Linked DNA regions of Saccharomyces cerevisiae S288C. The protein of the gene in region 1 purifies or fractionates together with the protein of each later gene. This does not show direct contact. Each region holds a gene or a part of one and is shown on either strand. Other genes may lie near its edges.

Region 1 (6,803 bases):
TTGCTACAGGAAAAACGAAAAAATGAAACTTCGAACTCATCACCGAGAACTTCTGCTGATACGTTGACCACGACGCCCGAGTCACAATCGCTTGACCTTCACTCTAGGAATAAGAGTAGTAGTCATATTGGTAGCGTGAGTAATAGCAGCAGTAGTGATCGTAATAGGGCTAACGTGCCAGTTCCTGGCAGTGTCACAACTGTTACTCAAATATACTCAGAGGAAGATTCATCATCAACAGCCGGTTCCTCTCTCGACGATAGGAATCAGTTTTCCTCCAGCTTCCTTAATGCAAACTTTGCTCACACTGCATCATTCTACGGCACAAGTGCACAAAGTAGAGATAGATTTGGATCCTTAATAAACGATCAAGGTACTGCAGGACTTTCCTCACATGGTGGTTCTTTTGCTGCACAGAACAGAATCACAAGTAGATTATCTACCACGTCACATACTTCAGGAAGGGCCATTCCTTCTTTATCATCAAGTATACCTTACTCCGTGCCAAATTCTAACAAAGATAACAATAGCTCGAATAGCAACAGCTCCTCTTTGTCTTCTTCGTGGCTCGAAACATATGCAGGCGGTATGCCCAATAATATTTCTGCAATCGATTCAAATGTTATATCCTCCCCAAAAGTAGATAGCGTGGAACCACGTTTTGTTATCTCCAAACAAAAACTCCAAAAAGCATCGATGGATAGTAATAATGCAAATGCCACTCAATCAAGATCTATATCCCGTTCAGGTTCATTCTCTTCACAGCTTGGGAATTTTTTCTTTTCCAAAAACTCAAAAGAATCTTCAAATTCTAACTCTGCAGGCATGTCTTTTTCTGCCAATTCCAATGGTCCTTCTCCAAACATTAAGAATCCCAATGTTACCAATGGTTCGACGCCTATCCCGAAGCCTATCCGCGCAAGACAAAGCAGCATATATTCTGCATCAAGACAGCCAACTGGTTCCTATACTGATAACTTTTACGGTTCCCCCTCATCTGTACATGACCACTTACCTCCAAGTCAAAGTGTTCCAAGGTCACAACATTCTTCCATCGGTGATTTAAAGAGGTTCTTCAAAAAAAGTTCTAACAGTAACCTTTCCTCGAATAGTAACAACGTGATCCCGAACGGATCACCTCTTTCTAGCGGAATTGCCGTTCCGTCACACTCTCATTCATCGTCTCATTTTGCCGCAGGGAATAACTCATATTCCACTAGTTATAACGGAAATGGAGATACTATTTATTCTCATAGTCACGGCGGTTCAGGAATTCCGTTCTCAAAAAGGTACATCAAAACCGGTGCCGATTTAGGCGCTGGAGCAGGAGGTTCTGTCAAATTAGCTCAAAGAATTTCAGATAACAAAATATTTGCAGTGAAGGAGTTTAGAACTAAATTTGAAAATGAATCCAAAAGAGATTATGTCAAGAAAATTACATCAGAATACTGTATTGGTACAACTTTGAATCATCCCAATATCATTGAAACAATTGAAATCGTGTATGAAAATGATAGAATTCTCCAAGTTATGGAATATTGTGAATACGATTTATTTGCTATTGTAATGAGTAATAAAATGTCCTATGAAGAGATTTGTTGTTGCTTCAAACAAATACTTACTGGTGTACAATATTTGCATAGTATCGGCTTAGCTCATAGAGATCTAAAGCTAGATAATTGTGTTATAAACGAAAAAGGTATTGTAAAATTAATCGATTTTGGTGCTGCTGTGGTATTTTCATATCCATTCTCAAAAAATCTTGTGGAAGCAAGTGGAATTGTTGGAAGTGATCCATATTTAGCACCTGAAGTCTGTATATTTGCGAAGTATGACCCACGTCCCGTAGATATTTGGTCTTCTGCAATCATTTTTGCATGTATGATACTGAAGAAATTTCCATGGAAAATTCCGAAATTAAGGGACAATTCATTCAAACTATTTTGTTCCGGACGTGATTGCGACTCCTTAAGTAGCTTGGTTACAAGAACTCCTGATCCACCTTCCTACGATGAATCGCACTCAACAGAAAAGAAAAAACCCGAAAGCTCTTCCAATAATGTATCAGATCCTAATAATGTTAATATCGGGCCACAAAGATTGTTGCACTCATTACCAGAAGAGACTCAGCATATTGTTGGACGTATGATTGATTTGGCGCCCGCATGCAGAGGAAATATCGAAGAAATCATGGAAGATCCTTGGATCCGTAGCATTGATATGTGCCACTTGGTTGAAGATGGATTATCGTTCAAAGTGGTTAGAGGAGAAGACCATCATCACACACAAGTGGATCAAAGTGAAGCACATATTGCAGGCCTAGAAAAGAAAAAGAAAAAGCAAAATAATCAATAAATAAGCGTCCCCACTTTTATTTCTTTTCCAAGCATTTGTATATAACCTTTTTTTATCCTATTTGAGTATATGTTAAAATACAATGTCATATTTACTTCTGTTAAACTAATTTCATATTTTACCGTTCTATAGAAGCCTAAATAGATTGACCTCCTGTTCATAATCTACTATTTTATCAGAAAAATGTAAAAGCTTAGTATGATAATAATTAATGGAAAAGTTCGTTAAAATATCGCGCCACTAATTAATAATAATGAAGCGGGTAACATTAATTGTCTTACCAAGGCGACAATTCCCTTTTCTAAAATTTCACAGCAAAGAAGCTTTAGAAAGTGCAGTAAATCTACAACTCATAAGAAGGAAAAAAAGCGTGAACATTCAAATCGACAGCGTAACCTTCTGTATTTATTTCTGTTTGTTGTACTTTCGAACTCTCGAATACCATAGAGGAACTATTAGTCTCCATAATGTCACAGGCAGCAAAAAACGTGATAGTAAAGCTAATAGTAGGAGCAGGCCAAGCGGCACCATCACCTCCCGTGGGGCCCGCATTGGGCTCCAAGGGTATAAAAGCCATTGACTTTTGTAAGGAATTTAATGCAAGATCAGCAAACTATCAGCCAGGTGTACCGGTTCCAGTATTAATCACAATAAAACCTGATAGAACATTTACGTTTGAAATGAAATCTCCACCAACCGGATATTTGCTGCTAAAAGCTCTTAAAATGGACAAGGGACATGGACAACCGAATGTGGGGACAATGTTAGGCAGTGCACCTGCCAAGGGACCAACCCGTGCTTTAGGAGAGTTATCGCTGAAGCACGTTTACGAAATAGCCAAGATAAAAAAGAGTGATGAAAGGCATAGTTTATTGGAGATGGAAGGTATTGTTAAATCAATAGTTGGCGTTGCAAAAAGTATGGGTATTAAGGTTGTACCTTGATCTGTAAGTAGTGAAAAGACAAAAAAGTACCGTCAATTTCGAGAAATTTTCAACAGACCTTCCTTCTTCTTTCTACTGATCTATTCTGTAAATATGTATATAAGTTTTAAATTCTCTTTCTCCCGTTATGTTAGCAAAGCTCGGTAGTACTGAAGCTATTCTGAGTAAACGCTTCTCCAACTCTGTATACTGAGAGTTGTTTTATAAGTCAATAAAGACCGGATATTTATATGTATATATTGATTTGGTATAATAAAAATGAAATGCTAATAAAAATGCCTATGAAAAGAGGAAAATCCAGGAATATCGAGTTTTTTCATTTGGTGAACTTCCTTTTTTTATTTTTTTTCCATTTTTTTCTGTTATTTTTCTTGCTATTAATCTTCAATGGGCGGTTATTTGGTTCGTTAACAGCCTGTTCCTGTTTGGATTTAGAGGTAACATTACCAGTGGCCATGGCAGATTTCGCCAATGGCAATGGAACCGATTTTGGAGTTAGCCTCGTGTATAGGAGATAATATGCGTTGGGTTCCTTTAAAACGTCCCTTTCAGATATTATATTAATATACTCGTCGTCGTAAGTGGCCCAGCTACCGTCTGGTTGCTTGCAGTGGGCAATGTAGTGACCTGAAGAAAGGGAGCGGCCCTCATGAACCACCACGCTTAATAGTTGGTATTTGACAGGTAGCTCTTTACTCTCACAATATTCCGTCAAATCTAAAAACATAGGATAAGAAACAGCTTGCTTCATTTTTGATGAGGACGTGCCATTGAATCTGAATTTTTTCAGATGCACAAGTAAAGTTTCAGGAGCCCTTAATATTGAACTATGCTTCACGGCGTTCGTGGTCTTGTGACACTTCTCACAAACGTAACCCTTTTGCTCCTTGTCAACCTTGATTAATTCGGGATTGAAGAAATCTTTAATTGATTTTTCAATAGAAAATCTGCGGTTGGCTGAACTTAAATCACTGGCAGCGGCAAATGGTGAGCCATTGTTTAAATTGACAGATGAAGAGGATGAAAGAGATGGTTTTGTGGCAGCATTGGAGGTAGTGGTAGAAGTGGTGGCTGAAGTGCCGTTAATGCTATCACTCGACAGGTCAGAATTTGGATCAAGTTTTTTCTTCCCTTTCAAGTGCAACGATAAATCGTAAAATGGTTGTTCTGTTTTAGATATACTGCCACAAGATTTGCAAGTAACGATCTGCTTTAAAAGACCACCGAATATGTCATATATTATCGATTCTATAAGTTTATGACCCTTGGGAACAGAATCTTCCTGTAATCTTGACATCAGAGACATGAAGTACTCATGTGAATCTTCCTGCTGCCATTCGCTCATCATACAATTAATGTCATCCAATCTGGAAATCAAATGTTTTGGATTAATGTAGGAAGCTGAAACGTTCTTTCTAGGGTTTTTTGAGACCGGTAACCACATTTTTTTACTTGTTTCAGCTAAAGTATAGGAAACGGAATTTTTTGAGATGGTGCTATCGTATTTCCCCATTAGTATATCAAAAAGATAATGTTGTATCGAAGGAATGTGTAACATAGCCTGTACAGCAGCATTTGTGTAACAAGTAACACCATGATTCAAAAGGCCACGAGGCTTCAAATTGGTGAATTTGTCGCCCCAATTTTTAACAATTCTAGTAGAGTTTAAAGAACCACGATCATTGATATTTTCATTGAATTGGTAAAAGTTTGATAGATTTGATATTGTAACCGGAGGGGTGATTGACCTAGATTTATGTTTCAGCTCTTCTTCCTCTTCTTCCTCCTCCTCTCCCTTTGGATTCCTGTTTCCATTTTCTTTGGTGTTGTTTACTGGTTCGTACCGATTTACTTCCACTGTACTATTTTCCATTAAATCTTGATATAAACTCTTTTTTTCGCCTTCAGAAATTTTGGAGCTGGAATCGTTCTCCTCTTCTTCAGGGAGCTCTTTTTCCATAGCACTAGAATCATAATCCATGTCATCCTCATCCTCGTCGTCTTCTATTTCGTCATCACTGCTAATGCTTGTAGACAGTTCCTTTCTTTTTTCCTTTTCATTCTCATTAGATGAATCATCAATGGTTGCTAATGGAGAACCCAAGTTTTCACCAATGTCTTCACCAATGTCTTCACCGATGTCTTCACCGATGTCTTCACCGATGTCTTCGCCGATGTCTTCACCATCGCCCTTATCTGCGTTGTCGCGTTCCTTCAAACTAGCTTTTCGGGGTTCTACATAGTCTCTTGCCTCATGAAATATTTCACCCTCTTCCTCTTCCTCTTTTCCTACTTTGTCATCTTCCGAAGAAGAGGAAGGAGGCTCCGTAGAAAGCTCCGTAGAAAGCTCCGCTGACTTCTTGGCACCAGTAGCATCTGCAGCATCTTTATCATTTTTAGAAGTATACAACAATAAAGCTTCAGCCATAGATTTAGGAACAGTGTTGGTTTTCTTTCCGTTTGGCCTGTCTATCAAGTTATTTTCTTTTATTTGCTTGGATTCGGCCGTTGCAGCAATAGCTGTGCTATTACTATTGTTATTATGCTGTTTTCCTATCACAATATACGAGCTATTTTCCGGCGCGGCGGAAGTATCATTATTATTCGATTTGTTAGAGATCATTGCAGCATTGAACTGCAGGGGATTTGATAGGATTCTATCTACCAAAGGTTTGATCGATTCTTGAGTGGTCATAGTCTGTGATTGTGATATGACAATAGGACGGATTTACAGATACTATGAGTTGTAGATTCTTTCCGTTAGTTTTTCTATGAAATATTATGTGCAGTACAGAACAAAAGAGGCTTCAGACACTATGCATGCTCCTGTGTGCAGTATATGATGCTTAATAGCTTCTATGAAACAAATAAAGGACAGAAGCGGGGATGGAAGACTCTGTTAATGCTTTACAGGGAAGTTTTTCCCGATGGTGGCACTATATAAAAATAAGAACTTTTTTCTTTTCTTTTGGGGATTTTTTTCGATGCGAAAAAAATTTTTTGACGGCATGAGGCAAGAAGTGAACAAAAGAGGTGGTGTCTGGGGGATGCAATTTAACTTCTTACTTGTGCGCGTTCATCGGAGAAAGCTGGCCGGGTGATACACGAATACGGGTTTGCCGTTTTTAGCCGCCGAACCTGCATAATGAAATTGTGCCCCCATGAGATAGGGCGAACAGTTCGGGATCCCCAGGACAATTCTTCACTACCGTGGCAGGAATAGTAGAATCAAGGTTAGTGCGCCACTCTGACTCTGGCGGGATAGACGTGATTAGTGGGTCTTCAACACTATTGTGTGAGGGAACACCTCCAAATTCCACAAGGTCTCGACCCCAGTTCAATATTGTTCCCTGCGGCGTCCCCATACTTAGTCCGTAAGCCGTATCTATATATGCCTTCAACTTTGCAGAGTTGTGGTGGATCCGAAACGGTAGGCGCAATACGTTAAGCTCGTGCTGCAGGTTTCGCCGATCGTAAATACTAATCGCGTCACTGTTGCGTCTG
Region 2 (13,028 bases), on another chromosome or scaffold:
ACCTTTCCAGTGATTGGCTCTCCTGACTCATTCAATATCAAGGAACCATTTTCAGGATTAATTACTGTACCAGTAACAACCTTGAATTCCTCAGGGTTACGTTCTTCCACAATAATGTCATCGCCAGTTTCGGTTACATTATCGATAGTTGTTTTGGGAGCTACTACAAAAAACTTAATTCCGAACTGCTTACAAATTACAGCAAGTTGTAAAGTACCAATTTTATTTGCTGTATCCCCATTACGAACAATTCTATCAGCTCCAACAAATGCTGCTTTGATTGGAATTGGACTAGTTCTAATTCTATACGCGATGGAACTATCAGTAATTAAAGTTGATGGAATCTTATCATAAACTAGCTCGTATGCTGTTAGCCTTGACCCTTGATTATAAGGTCTAGTTTCCAGTGGGAAGACATGGCCCATCCTCGGGCATTTTTCATTGTCCAATCCCGAGTCTGCCTTGTCGGTTTTAGCAAGTGAATCCTTCCACAAAGAACGGATAACACCTAAAGCCGTGCCATATCCAGAGGTTGCTAAGGATCCAGTATTACAAATCGTCAGAACGGCAAATTCGTCCTTGAAACCGTCCTTTTGTAACACGTCAATCAAATACTTAGCTCCATTATCACCCATTTTCATGTTATTCGCCAAATCCTCATCTATCAATTCACAGACGTAATTATATAAACTACCGTCAAAAGCCTTTAGGTCACTTGAGGATTTCAGTATGTTCTTTATCTCTACAAGAGAATTTGATAAATTAACGGCTGTGGGTCTACTACTCAAAAGGAAATCTAGCCTCTTATTTAGCACTGTTTTTGTAGATTCCCAGTTAACTAAAGAATACAGCGTAGCAACATCAGAAGTTGGGTTGTGTTTTATTAATTGTACCTCAGTCAAAACAGATAACGAACCCACAATTGCAATTGCCGGGGCACCTCTCACCTGCATACTTTTGATGACTGAGTACCCATCATCAATTGTGTGAATTGGAACGTATTTAGTAGTATATGGTAAAAGTAATTGATCAAGTACCTTTACCGAAACATTTTCTGGCTCCGATCTATCAAAGACGATGGCTTCCAACGACATTTTTTGTCAGCAGTTTGATAGATCACTTTGTCGGTCGTAGATATTGCTCTTAATCTTTTTATTCTAGCATGCTAAATTGATGAATGGGGAATACTTTGGCCGTGCGCCCCATCATCTCATCTTAGTAAGTGAAAAACCGGAAAAACTAACGCCAAGAAGGCCTGTAAAAAAAAAATCTTACTGATTTTCATTTTAGTATATAATACAATTACTATATAACTGAAGAATATTTACGCTAGACACATGTGTGTGTTTCCTCATTTATTTTTTGAAAACTCACTCGTAACAGGGTAAAATGGCTTTACTCCATTTCCATCATTTTCATTATACGTTTCATCTGAGTTTATTGATCTGATATCTGAAGAGTGCGTGGAGCTATAAAATGAATTATGCCCTTCGACTTCAAGGATATGTGAATTATCACGATTTTGAGAATCTGGACTTAGTAATCGATGTATTTCCATAGAAGTTTTTTTCTTATTCTCTTTTTTATGAGGCAAAAATTTGTTACCAATAATATTTCCCAAATGTTGTAAAACTATTCTTACGACGTCTCTTTTCAAAGCAGTAAAAAATTCTTCCCTCGACCACAGTTTGTTATGGTACTTTAAAACAGGGACTCTAACAATCAGGTTATTAACATCGGTCAAAAGGCTGTGTGAACCCTTATAACACACGGACATTAGAGTTTTTCGGATTATAATAGATTTTACATTGAAAAATGTCCCTGATCTTTTGACCATTTCATTGATGTTATAATCAGGTTGCACAAAAAGTGATGCTGACAATTTTCTATGATCACCCTTATGCTTTTTGATACCTTCTTTGCTCTGGATACTACGCAAGTCCCAAGAGTCAACGTCTTTCGCATCGTACACAGATAAAGAACCGTTAGAAAGACTGTGCCGTAAAACTGGAGACGATGAAAAGAAGGAACTAGTGGAAGAACGTGGTACAAGTTCTGGAGAATTGGGTTCTATGGAAGTTTGTTCTATCTTTGGAAATAGATAATTCATTAGTTTTTCCGATGTTTTGTGATCCATCTTGAAAATCAATGGCTGTAGAGAAACAATCAAATCTTGCAGATCTGAAATACCTCCAACTGATGGCCCCAGGATCCAAAAAATTTCTACCATTGGCGCGTTCTTATTATAGGATGAATTTTCATAAAAGGGGGCCAGCAATTCAGTGTAAACGGGATTTTCTTGCTGGTTGAAACATTGTAAGGAAGAAATGGATACTTTATTACTATTAGTGCCATCGGAAGTTTCTGAACGAATAAATGTAGAGGGCCCCAATCCGATAGTCACGAAAGGAGTTTTACTCTCATCGTACAATTCCCATATCAATTCATCTGTTCCAACTTGCCACCTCAATCTTTTCTGTATTACTCTATTACCACTCCCCATCCGGTCGTAAGTTTTCTTGATTGCCGTCATAAGTAACGTCAACTTCAACGTACTAGTTTGAATATCGAAGGTTAGCTCTTGTCCTGATTTCATAAACAATCTTGGCTCGTGAAGTTTGAGGTATGCTCGCGTATAATAGAGTTCCTTTATTCTTTCTTGTAATGCTGTGACAACAGAGACATCAAGATTTTCCAGGTTATTTCTGACCTCATCAGTAAATAATATCCTGGAAAGTTTCTCAACTTTTTCATCCAATGATGATCCAAAGGAAAGTAAATCTTCTGCGATTGCATATACAGCGCAGTATTGTTGACAGTCCGAGGTCAGAACCAATCCTGGAAATGCAATACGAAATCTCGAATCATAAGAGAATGCAGACGTATCATTTGCACTAAAAAATAGGGGATTGGGAGCGACGTAGGTCAAAAACATTGATCTCCGTTTTAGAAAAACATGCTTATCTAATAAAGACCCGTCAAAGCACATTTCAAGAGGAATCCATGGGGGCCATATATCTGACTCTTTGTCGGAACCATATCCATTTTTATGGAAAAATCTACCTTCAGGACCCTCTAAATCCTTTTTGAACAATGTAAACAACTGAATGTCCTTTGAAACAGCGGAATAGCGAGTTTCAACAATAGTATCGACGTCAACGGGAATTCTTTTTCCTGATTTTCCATACACTTGAACTATATCAATTATTCCCATTTCTATATCCCTAGCAGCTAAAATAACTGCTGCGTTCCTTTCAACGTCCGATTTGATCTGAACCTGAGGGGAGATTAGTCTAAAAAGATAATTATCAACATAATCAAAGTCATCACTCGGAACTTCTCTGATGAGTTTCTCAAAGTGCTCAATAAATTCTGAATTACTGGCTAAATCGTCCTCAAGTATTGAACCATAATCTTCTACAGATGTTCTGACCCCAGTCAACACATTTCCCAGTAATTCTTTTAAAATAGTTACGGATTTATAAGTCACAGCAAACCTCATAGATTTCCTTTCGAAAGCACTGGAAGCGTATTCCAAAAGGTGATGCCTGATTTTATTATCGATTTTTAACTCGATATTATGGACCATGAAACGGTTATCATAGGTGGACTCAACCTGCATAGTAGAGGCTTTTCTCATTGATACAAAAGACTCCACGGTATTGGTCCTCAATAGCGATATTCTATTTTGAATTGGCGGTGCATTTTCCAAATTTACATCAGTATCGGAGAGTGAGCTGGAGCTATCACCATCAGTATTTCCTCCAGGAATAGTCTCCGAGATTTTTAAATCGCTCAAGATGGTGTTGACTGTGTGCAATCTGTGGTTTAATTCAGCTACCTCTGCTTTTAATTCGCGTGCATAGCGCTCCGAATTTCCACTTACCGAACCTCCGCCTTTGTTCGATTGCAATTCGCTTAACGTAATATGTAATAATTTTAGTTGTTCTTCTATTTCTCGTTTTCTTTCAGTTGCTAATTTCTCCTGCGTCAATTCTGGATGATTCTTGCCAATCAGACAATTGTGAGATTCTTCGGTACCAAATGGGTAAGCTAGTACGTAACCATCATCATTTATTTTTCTAAAGTAGGATATTCTAGGAGAGTATAGCAATGGTATTGCTTCTAATTTTAATGGAAGTGAGGAACCAAGCGGCACTTGATTCAAGTCTATATAATCCTCATAATCATACCAATCTGATTCACGCAAGTATTCCACATCTTGAGGCGTAATAGGACGTGATGGCTCGTCTTCAAGTATGCCATCGAGTCCAGAAGTAAGAATTTCCTTAACTGCTTCCTGATCAAACAGAGTTGATAATATCCTAATATCTGCTTCTGCACAATCAATCTCACCCCTAGACATCTTAAACTTCCATACAGGTTTTGACTTATTTAATTTTTGGTTCGTATGGGTCAGTTTAACTCTTTTTTGATGCAAATCAATTTTCAGTGAATCAAACCTCCCTTTCAATCCAGTAAAAGTTATTTTGCGGTCTTTTTCAAGATCATATTGAGTAGTAATATGCCGATAAATATGCGTAACCATTAGCCGTTTTAAATGTAGCTGATAAGCTATTGTAAATAATGAGCGACCAAACTTTGTCTTGTTTTGAAGTACATCCGTAAATAACCGTCCTTGCCTAATAGGACCAGATGTATATGTATGAAATAAATTCCACCACTTAAAGAAATGTGTTAAAGCGTAAGGTGCGAGATAGAGACTATTTATGGATCCGTGCTCAGAAGAATAGACACCAAATGACATGTGGATAAAAGATGTTCTAAATCCTTTGTATGTATCATGGTGATCCAAATCTGCGACTCCATCTGGATTCATCAGCTGTATTTCATAATGTGGCCTATTTGGAAGGAACCTCTCTTCGTCACCAGCCTTAGATATATCGCCTTGTTCAAAAAGTAAACCTAATGTCCAAATTACTCTTCCATCGAGCTTCATAAAGACTTTATCAAATTTACTAACTTTGGCAAAGTCTGGCACTGCCAACTGAAACCTTTGGGATTCAATTTTTAAAAACTCTTTAGGATCCGTGGAGTTATGAACGTAAATTGTGGTGCCACCAGACCAGCAGAACGCCAGACCCGCACCATCATCTGTAATCTTATAAGGATCATGTGAACCTTTAATATTTAAGTGGATCTCACTTTCCTCTGAAAACTCGTATATCCACTTCCCATGCACTAAATATCTGAATTTGTCCCAAAATCCTAGCTTTTTGGACGGATCGATGAGAGGTTTGGTTAAAAAATCAAACCAAAGCATCAAAGACTCATAACCGGGTTGCAGAGATTTCCCCCATGTTATTCTGGCAGATGAAGAAGATGTAACCATTGACCTAATATTGAAATATGTTTTGACTGAATTAATTGTACGAATGATGTGCAAACCATATATTGTATTGGCGTCATTATAGGGGCTTCTTTGGGCAGAGCTGACAAAAGGAACATAAACAGTATGAAGCGCGCAAGGTGCTGGCATCTTTTCAGCAAATACAACATCACCTGTTGTAAATGTGTCGGGAAATGATATAGCAGGTATTGGATAATCTCTCAGACGCAACTCCCATAACGCGCTTTTGATTTTGAGGCCAAGAATAATTAGCAAAGTGTACTCCGTAGATTTTGGAACTTTTTTTCCATACTGGTAAACAAAATCCATATAATTGTCTAAAGGGAAGGAAGGACTGCCTAGTTTAAAATCCAAATCTTTTACGACGAGGTTAGCAACAGTACTGGTTTTCTGTCTAGTAAACAAGTGGTATTTCGTACCAAGCTCTTCACGGCTGATAACCCGATAAGGCATACCATAAAAAGAAAGTTTTGCTTTCCTGTATCTGGCAATCCATGACGTTGAAAAGTTTTCTAACAACCTGAGATAGGCCTTTTGCTCATATTCTTGATCATTCGCATAAAACTCTGGGAAAAAACTTTGTCCACGGGAGGTATCATAGAGCGACCTTAAACGTACATTCATGTCCTCATATGTTGATAGCTTTTCCTTGAACTCTTCAAGCTTCTTTAACCTCTCACGTTGTTCCAAAACACCAACTTTCAAAATTAATCCTAACTCCTGCTCAAAAGGATCTTCTTCAATATCAATTAGAAAATCCTGGCAACAAATATGTAAATTTGGAACTTTTTTCGGAAACTGTTGCTGAGGGTATAATCGCTTAAATTCATTCAAATTGGAAAATGCCAATTTAATTTGCTTAAACGATTTATACAACGTGACTATGTTATCCGTTATCATGTAAAATCTAAAATGATATTCGGCATGAAAATGAATCAATGAGGTGTTTATAACAGCGGATTTCTTGCAGATCAACTCTTCAGTGTCTAGCTCAAAGTCATTAATATTTAGCAAGGAAACATAAACCTTAATATGCTTCACATAAACCGATACCACGTACGCTGACAAAGATGCAATTGTAAGATTTTTAGTGGAACTTGAAAGTCCAATCCTCTCGAATATTAGGAGTACCTCTGTATTATGAGGAAGCGTTAGCTCTATAATCATCTTTCCTATATCTACTCTTAATCTATCGAGAACATTGACAGATTTTACACTGCTCACTGAATTTCGGCTCAATTTTGAATTAGGACGAAATTTTATCCATATACTCCGAATATAAAACCACAACCAGATAATATTTACATCCATCTTAAATTTAATCTTGGGAAGTGAAAAATGAATTTCATCTGAGTCGTTAAAACTCAATAACAAATTGGTAAATTGAATAATAACCTCAGGAGAGGGCTTATACGTAGTGCCATCCATGAAACGATATACGGATGCATCAATAATAGTGAAGTTTTTCTCCTGGCTGTCCGCTAACAATATTGATTCTGTAAAAACAACTTTGGCGCCTCTAGTTACGTCAGATAAGTTAAAATTCTCAGCTTCCACAGGATCCAAATTTTTCGGAAGAAACCCAGCGACCAGTAACGAACATGAAATATCCTTCATTCTAAGTTTCAATGACCAGTTAAATGTTTTCTTGGCTTCATTTAGGTCCCCCAATTTTCCACCATTCGCTTTATGAGCCGCATTCCTTTTTGTTCTGCTAGATATTAGCAAGTAAATTTTGTCAAAGGCGCGACTTAAAGTATGCAAAACTTCAATGTTCTCAAGACTAACGTACGAATGTCTTAGTGTAGACTGAACGATCAATTTAGAATTTGAAAATTCATCCAGAAATGTGTCTAATCTTTCAAAGCCACAGACTGGTATAGACACTGGGTTAGCGTCCTGCTCTGTTGGAATTCTCAGGTAAGAGAGTGATGTACCCACAATTTTAATATAGTTAGATAATTGATCAGATACTAGGGCTGTCTTCGCAAATGGCCAATCCGGACGTATTTGCATTACTTGTCCCTTTTTAGGAGTCATAGACAAGTTGTTACGGCTAAAGAGAGCATGTGTGCTGAAGACCTTAAACGTCACATTCTCCTCATCTGATATATGCAGCCTTGAAATAAAATTCGACATTAGTAGTTCAAAGTTAAAACTGGGCAATCGATCAATATCTAAATCTAAAATATTTAATGATCTGTCGTTTGTGTTAGTACATGATGAGGTCTCAGGGCTATCGAATTTGTCCACTAAATGAAGAACTTCCAGTACTTGATGTATAGTGAGGAATACTGAAGGATTTATAATGTTCAAAATGGAAGATACCTTCGTTCTCCGTAAAGGTACATTGTCAAGTAAAAATAGTAAAATATCTGACGTCAGTATGACATTTCCAAATGGAATTCTAACTGCTGTATTACCATCGATATCTACTACAACAGCATTTGCAGAAAGTGATAGTTCAAAATCGCCCCATGTGGGCTTATTTAAGGGTAAAAGTTCCAAAGCGGAGACATTATTTAGAATGGAGATTGATTCCAAGTAAAGTTGAGCACTTGATATGCGAATTGTAAACTTTTTTTTGTAAATCAACTTTACATTTTCTACCTTAAGGTCCAGAATGTTCAAAGTTTTCAGTGGGTAGTGAAAAGGCTTTAGCATCTTACGATATGAAGTGAGCATTTCCGCATCATCACCAGCAGAAAAAGGCTCAACAGGCTCCGAATGCAAATTCTTCCCTTTCTTCTCTGGAAGATGCCAACAAACATCACTTATTTTGAGACTTGATTTCCAATTTTTTAGTATAACTTTTGTGCAGTTGCTGCCTGTATCATCTTCCTTTCCAATTTTACAGACCATAAAAAAACCAGTATGGTTCAAAGTATCTTTCGTTTCAGGATGGGTAAAATCATGCAAAAATGCCTCTAACTTTATGGTATCATCGTGTGGGTGTGATATCGTTATGGATCCGATATTTAATTTATATTGTTTTCCATTAGGCACTGTAAGAGCTAAAGTATGAAAGAAAGTGGAAAATGAGAACACAAGTTTCAAAATTGATAGGACTCGCCTGTTAATTACAAAGGTAAAAGTTTGATCCCGCGGATTGAAATATGTTCTGGAGTCTTTAGTTGAATGTGCAGTGATATGGCTGTCCTTCCCAAATAACTTCAAATCAACATTATGAAACACAATTCCGGGTTTCCAACCTATTCGCAAGGTTATCTTGCCAATATATATTTGAGCAAAATCAGTTAAGATAAACGCTCGTCTTATTGACGTACCAAAAAAGTATCCAAATGAAATTTTTCGTATTGTGGAATGGCGCAGCATCAATATCCATGACATGAGAATACTAGCGATTTTCTGAATTGATATAATAAAAAGCATAAAGCCTAATAATAGTTTAGACACATCCCTTATTTGAGACCACGGTAACATAGACATTGTAGATTTTTTTTCTTGCAATAAACAGGATACTCCAGCTACTAGATATTATGGATGACAAGCCTACTCGAGAAATTGATCAGCAAAACTAAATTGAATGCTTAGCTTTTAAATGTAAGCCTTTTCGTGGGAAAAAGTGTATGATTTAGTTTTCAAAGAAGTACCTTCTATAATGGTAAATTATTGGTTGTGCTCTTGAATATAATGCATGTGTATGCCCTTGAAGTTTTTAATACAAAGCCACTAGTGCAAACAAATCAACAAATCTATTTACCCTTAATGTTCCTCTTTATCAATCATACAGCCTTGCAGATGGATGGTAAGTGATGGACTATAGAACACCTCAGAGATATTTTACGTAGATGTGCGGGATTAAGGGTTCTGAATTCTCCTGCCCGAGGCGCCCAAATTTTTCATTTTCGGATTGCAAAATGATGCCATTCGCTGACAGCCAGTTTTGTATTCATTGAATAAGAATAATGGCAAATTCAGAGAGACAATTCCAGCGATATATCCCGCTTTCCTTCCTTTTTTCTTCCGCAATCAGTTAACTGAATGAAACAATAATGTACTATAAAGGTGTTTGATGAGATCCTTGTCATTGTCGGCATCCAGGTAAATTCCATTAGTAACTGCATCTTTACTCACGATAGCTTCTAGAGTTGGCTCGTGGAGATAACCAAGGTTAAAGACAGACTGTGTAATTGGTAGCCCTTTACCATGACTAACTACTTGTATTTCAATCGGGGGTGTTTTTCTCTTGTCACAAATGAGTAAAACACGATTTATCGAAGAAGGTCCAACATTCGGTATCACTGAAAGTCTTGCTTTTATAAATGCGTGCAAGTTAGCATTGTATTCCGTTATAAATGTAGAGGAATCAACTTCTAGGCTCTTTGGAGTTGATGTTTGCAATACCGAGATTGGGAACCATGACGTCGCAGCCGCCAAGTTGTCTTGTACAATGGAGGCTGAATTCAATACGTACGAGCTTTTGTATGATTTGGAATAATCTAGTGTAGGTACCAGTTTTAGTTTATCTTTATCAGCATGCTGATCTTTGCCAGTTGATGGTACCACTTTCAATGGAATTAGTAATTCTCTACACGATTTTAATTTTGAGATTTTTTCTGCTCTCATTGGAGAAGCTAAAAGCCTACCATATAAGTTATTTTTTAAATTGAAATTTTCCAAATGGAACTGCCCCACCATTTCCTCTTCATCTTTGAAATAGAGCTTCTTGCGCTTATCCGACCATTTCTCGAAGTTTGTAATGAGCGGAGAAACATCTTTGACTCGTTGGGCACAGTTTTTATTAATGACTCTCGTTGGACAATCTATGAGTAACTTCTTATATGCCGATTTAGGTAAACCCATATTTGATTTTGAGAGGTTCCCAGGAGAATTCACAACAAAATATTATTCGAAGGCTCCTATCGTCATCATGTACCGTGGCGCATTGCCAACCTGTCTTATAGAAAGGCCGATGTCGTAAGCGGACCGGAAAACTGGAGATGAACAGGCATTGCCAATCCTACCGCCACTGTAAAAAACAAGTAAGAAAAAGATAATTATGGACGCTGGCTTTCATTTTAAAATAACATCAAGTTCAGATGATACTTCTGAAAAATACCCAATCAGGAATCTATTTTTATTTGGTAGAAGACTACTTTGTTTACTTATAAAAACATGATAACTATCTAAGAATATATGAACTGATTGCGTTTAACTTAACTTTTCCATTTTGTCTTAATCTTCTTCGTTTCCGGTAGTTAATGGGTTTGTATTTTCAGCAGGAACATGACCCAGGACTTTCTTGTTGCTTATTACACTTATCAAGGAACCAAATGACATGCTCTTCATCTGTGCAGTCTTATTGGACAGGTTTTCATAGTGTCACTTACTTGACGCGGATGTAGCAGGTACAGTATTAGTACTTCCCTCCTTGCGCGAGTGAAGAGACTTATCATTCGATACAGTAGATGTTAGTGGGACGTTTTCCGCACTATATGTCTTTTTCAAACTGCTATAAGGAGCTTCAACACCTTTAGATGTAAGCGGTTCCTTCAACGTTAGACGTGATTGTGAGGCGCCCTTCTCATTGCCGTAGATCAATCGTGAGTCATTACCTTCTTTCCTTGGACCACATTGATGGGGAATATGACAAGCTGAACTTTTGCGAGAGCCACTGCAGTTTTGAGTTCTGTTTTCCTCGAACAATGGAGACTCCATCTCAAAAGGTGAAAGATCTGACCCTCGTCTTGCTTCCGAATTGCAATTCAATGGTATTCCAAAATATCCGTTTGCATTACCATCCAATGCTAGACAACTGGGTGAAACACCTGGTAAGTTCATTAATGGCGAAGGATAAAAATCAACCCGTTGGTTGTGAATGGATGCAACACTGGAGGCACGAGACGATTTATGACTACTATCTGAATACGCGCTTGCCGGAATAATGGCTTCATCCCCATGATTACTAACAGCTATTTGAGGTACCTCTCCGGGAGCCGATGCTTTTCGCGAAGAGGATGCCATTAAGTTATCTGCTGACCGGTTGTAAAGCATACCTTCCCCAGTATAAGGTGAATAAGGCGATTTGCAAGGGGTTCTAATTGTGTAACTCATACCATTTTGTGGAGCACTGTTTTTCGTTTCTCCCACTATGGCCAGATTACCATTTTCATCAATGGCTGGTGTATTGACTTTTGACCTGTATACGGAATTCATAGCGCCTGCATTCATATTTGCGCTTTTTGGGATGTCTATATAACGAGGACGATTTGCCCTCTTCCTAGTGTTTAACGTGGTAACAGAGGAAGATGGCGTTACTTTTTCAGAAAGGTTAACAAAACTGTCTACTGGAGTGATATATGTACTGTTTTTGGACCTTTGAGAGCTCTTTCCATTATTATGGTTTCTACTTTTCAGAATCTTTTCTTCAATGAAGTTCGACCTCTCCTGAGTAGAATTGAAACTTGTAAGCGCTTTTATGTCCTGAACCCATTTCTTGAAATTTTTTGATTCCTCTGGAGTTGGTTCAAGACTTGCGGAAAATATTTTAAACGTCCATTCAACGCGCTTCTCGCAAATTGACTTCTTATTGATGTTAGCTTCTTCTTTAGCCTTTTTTTGTTCCTTGGGCACGGAAGAACTCTTTAGAAATTTCGGAACGGACACCATCGAGAGAGCTGAAGGCGTACGTTGATGTTTGCCCTTATTTGAAGCAAGCGTCTTTGTTGGACATGCCAAATCTGAGGTCGTGCTTGATTCTTTTGTACATGTGTCCTCTGGTGAATGATAACTAGCATACCCTTGTAAAACAAAAGTTGAGTCAGTACTATCCTTTAATGAGCAATCATTTAAAGACAAACTAGAGATAGGATATAGATTCGAAGAACTCAAACCCTTTCTTCTCTTCGTCAGTTTCGGATCCTGTGTCCCTTTGCTCGATGGGTGACTGCCAGCGTTAGTCCCATCCTTATTCACACGGCTAATGTCTGATTGTTCAACAACAGGTTTATTTTTTGAACGGGGAGACTTGCTGTCTAGAAAGAAATCGCTGCTTTTGAATTCGTGAAGATAATTTGTAGTCAACACAAAATAACCTTTAGTAAAACTTTTAGAAGACTCTGTTTTCTTCAGTAGATATCCTACTCTAATGCATTTGGCCAGCGGCGATTTCATGTTAGGATAAACAATATCAGATAATCTTCTGGGTTGCGGTGGCGGGTCTGTCGATTTTAAATTCATCAGACAGGTAGGATGATGAGAGACAAAATTATCCCACTCTACAGCCGGTGGTCTAGATAGAATACCTTGCTGCAATTCATGGCACAAATTTTTGATCATTAATCGTGCTTCTGAATCAATTAACGCTGAGTAGCGCTGTAATGCGGATTGAATTTTAGAATATACTATTTTCTCCAGTTGTAGTGCTGCTGATTGTAAATTCAGAAAAGCTTCTCGAAGATAGTTTTCTTCGAGTAATTGTCTTTTCAGCTGCAAATCTAGTTGTAATTTCAAAAGGTATGGATCGTGTTTTGGTTTTAATTTTTCACCTTGCTTATCGCCCGAAGTGGATGCTTCATCTAATAACTTCACTGAAGCAATATATTTATTCAGAAGCCTGCTTGTTATTTTGATATGCTCGCCTATGTTAGTCTTGAAATCTCCATTTAATTCTTTAATTTCTTTCATCTTTGTG

What was found.
Region 2: the proteins of MRPL19 (region 1) and RRG8 purify together in Saccharomyces cerevisiae (affinity purification with mass spectrometry; 2 studies listed by BioGRID). This does not show direct contact.

What each region holds. Positions count from the first base shown.
Region 1 is NC_001146.8:288,689-295,491, reverse strand, and holds MRPL19 (mitochondrial 54S ribosomal protein uL11m MRPL19), read left to right. Parts: upstream 1-2,822; coding exon 2,823-3,299; downstream 3,300-6,803. Other genes in the region: serine/threonine protein kinase NPR1, read left to right, coding at 1-2,355; YNL184C (uncharacterized protein), read left to right, coding at 2,609-2,935; ubiquitin-specific protease UBP10, read right to left, coding at 3,616-5,994; SWT21 (Swt21p), read right to left, coding at 6,425-6,803.
Region 2 is NC_001148.4:755,818-768,845, reverse strand, and holds RRG8 (Rrg8p), read right to left. Parts: upstream 10,199-13,028; coding exon 9,365-10,198; downstream 1-9,364. Other genes in the region: S-methyl-5-thioribose-1-phosphate isomerase MRI1, read right to left, coding at 1-1,094; HOB2 (Hob2p), read right to left, coding at 1,352-8,821; RGC1 (Rgc1p), read right to left, coding at 10,718-13,028. UniProt on the Saccharomyces cerevisiae protein: Required for respiratory activity and maintenance and expression of the mitochondrial genome.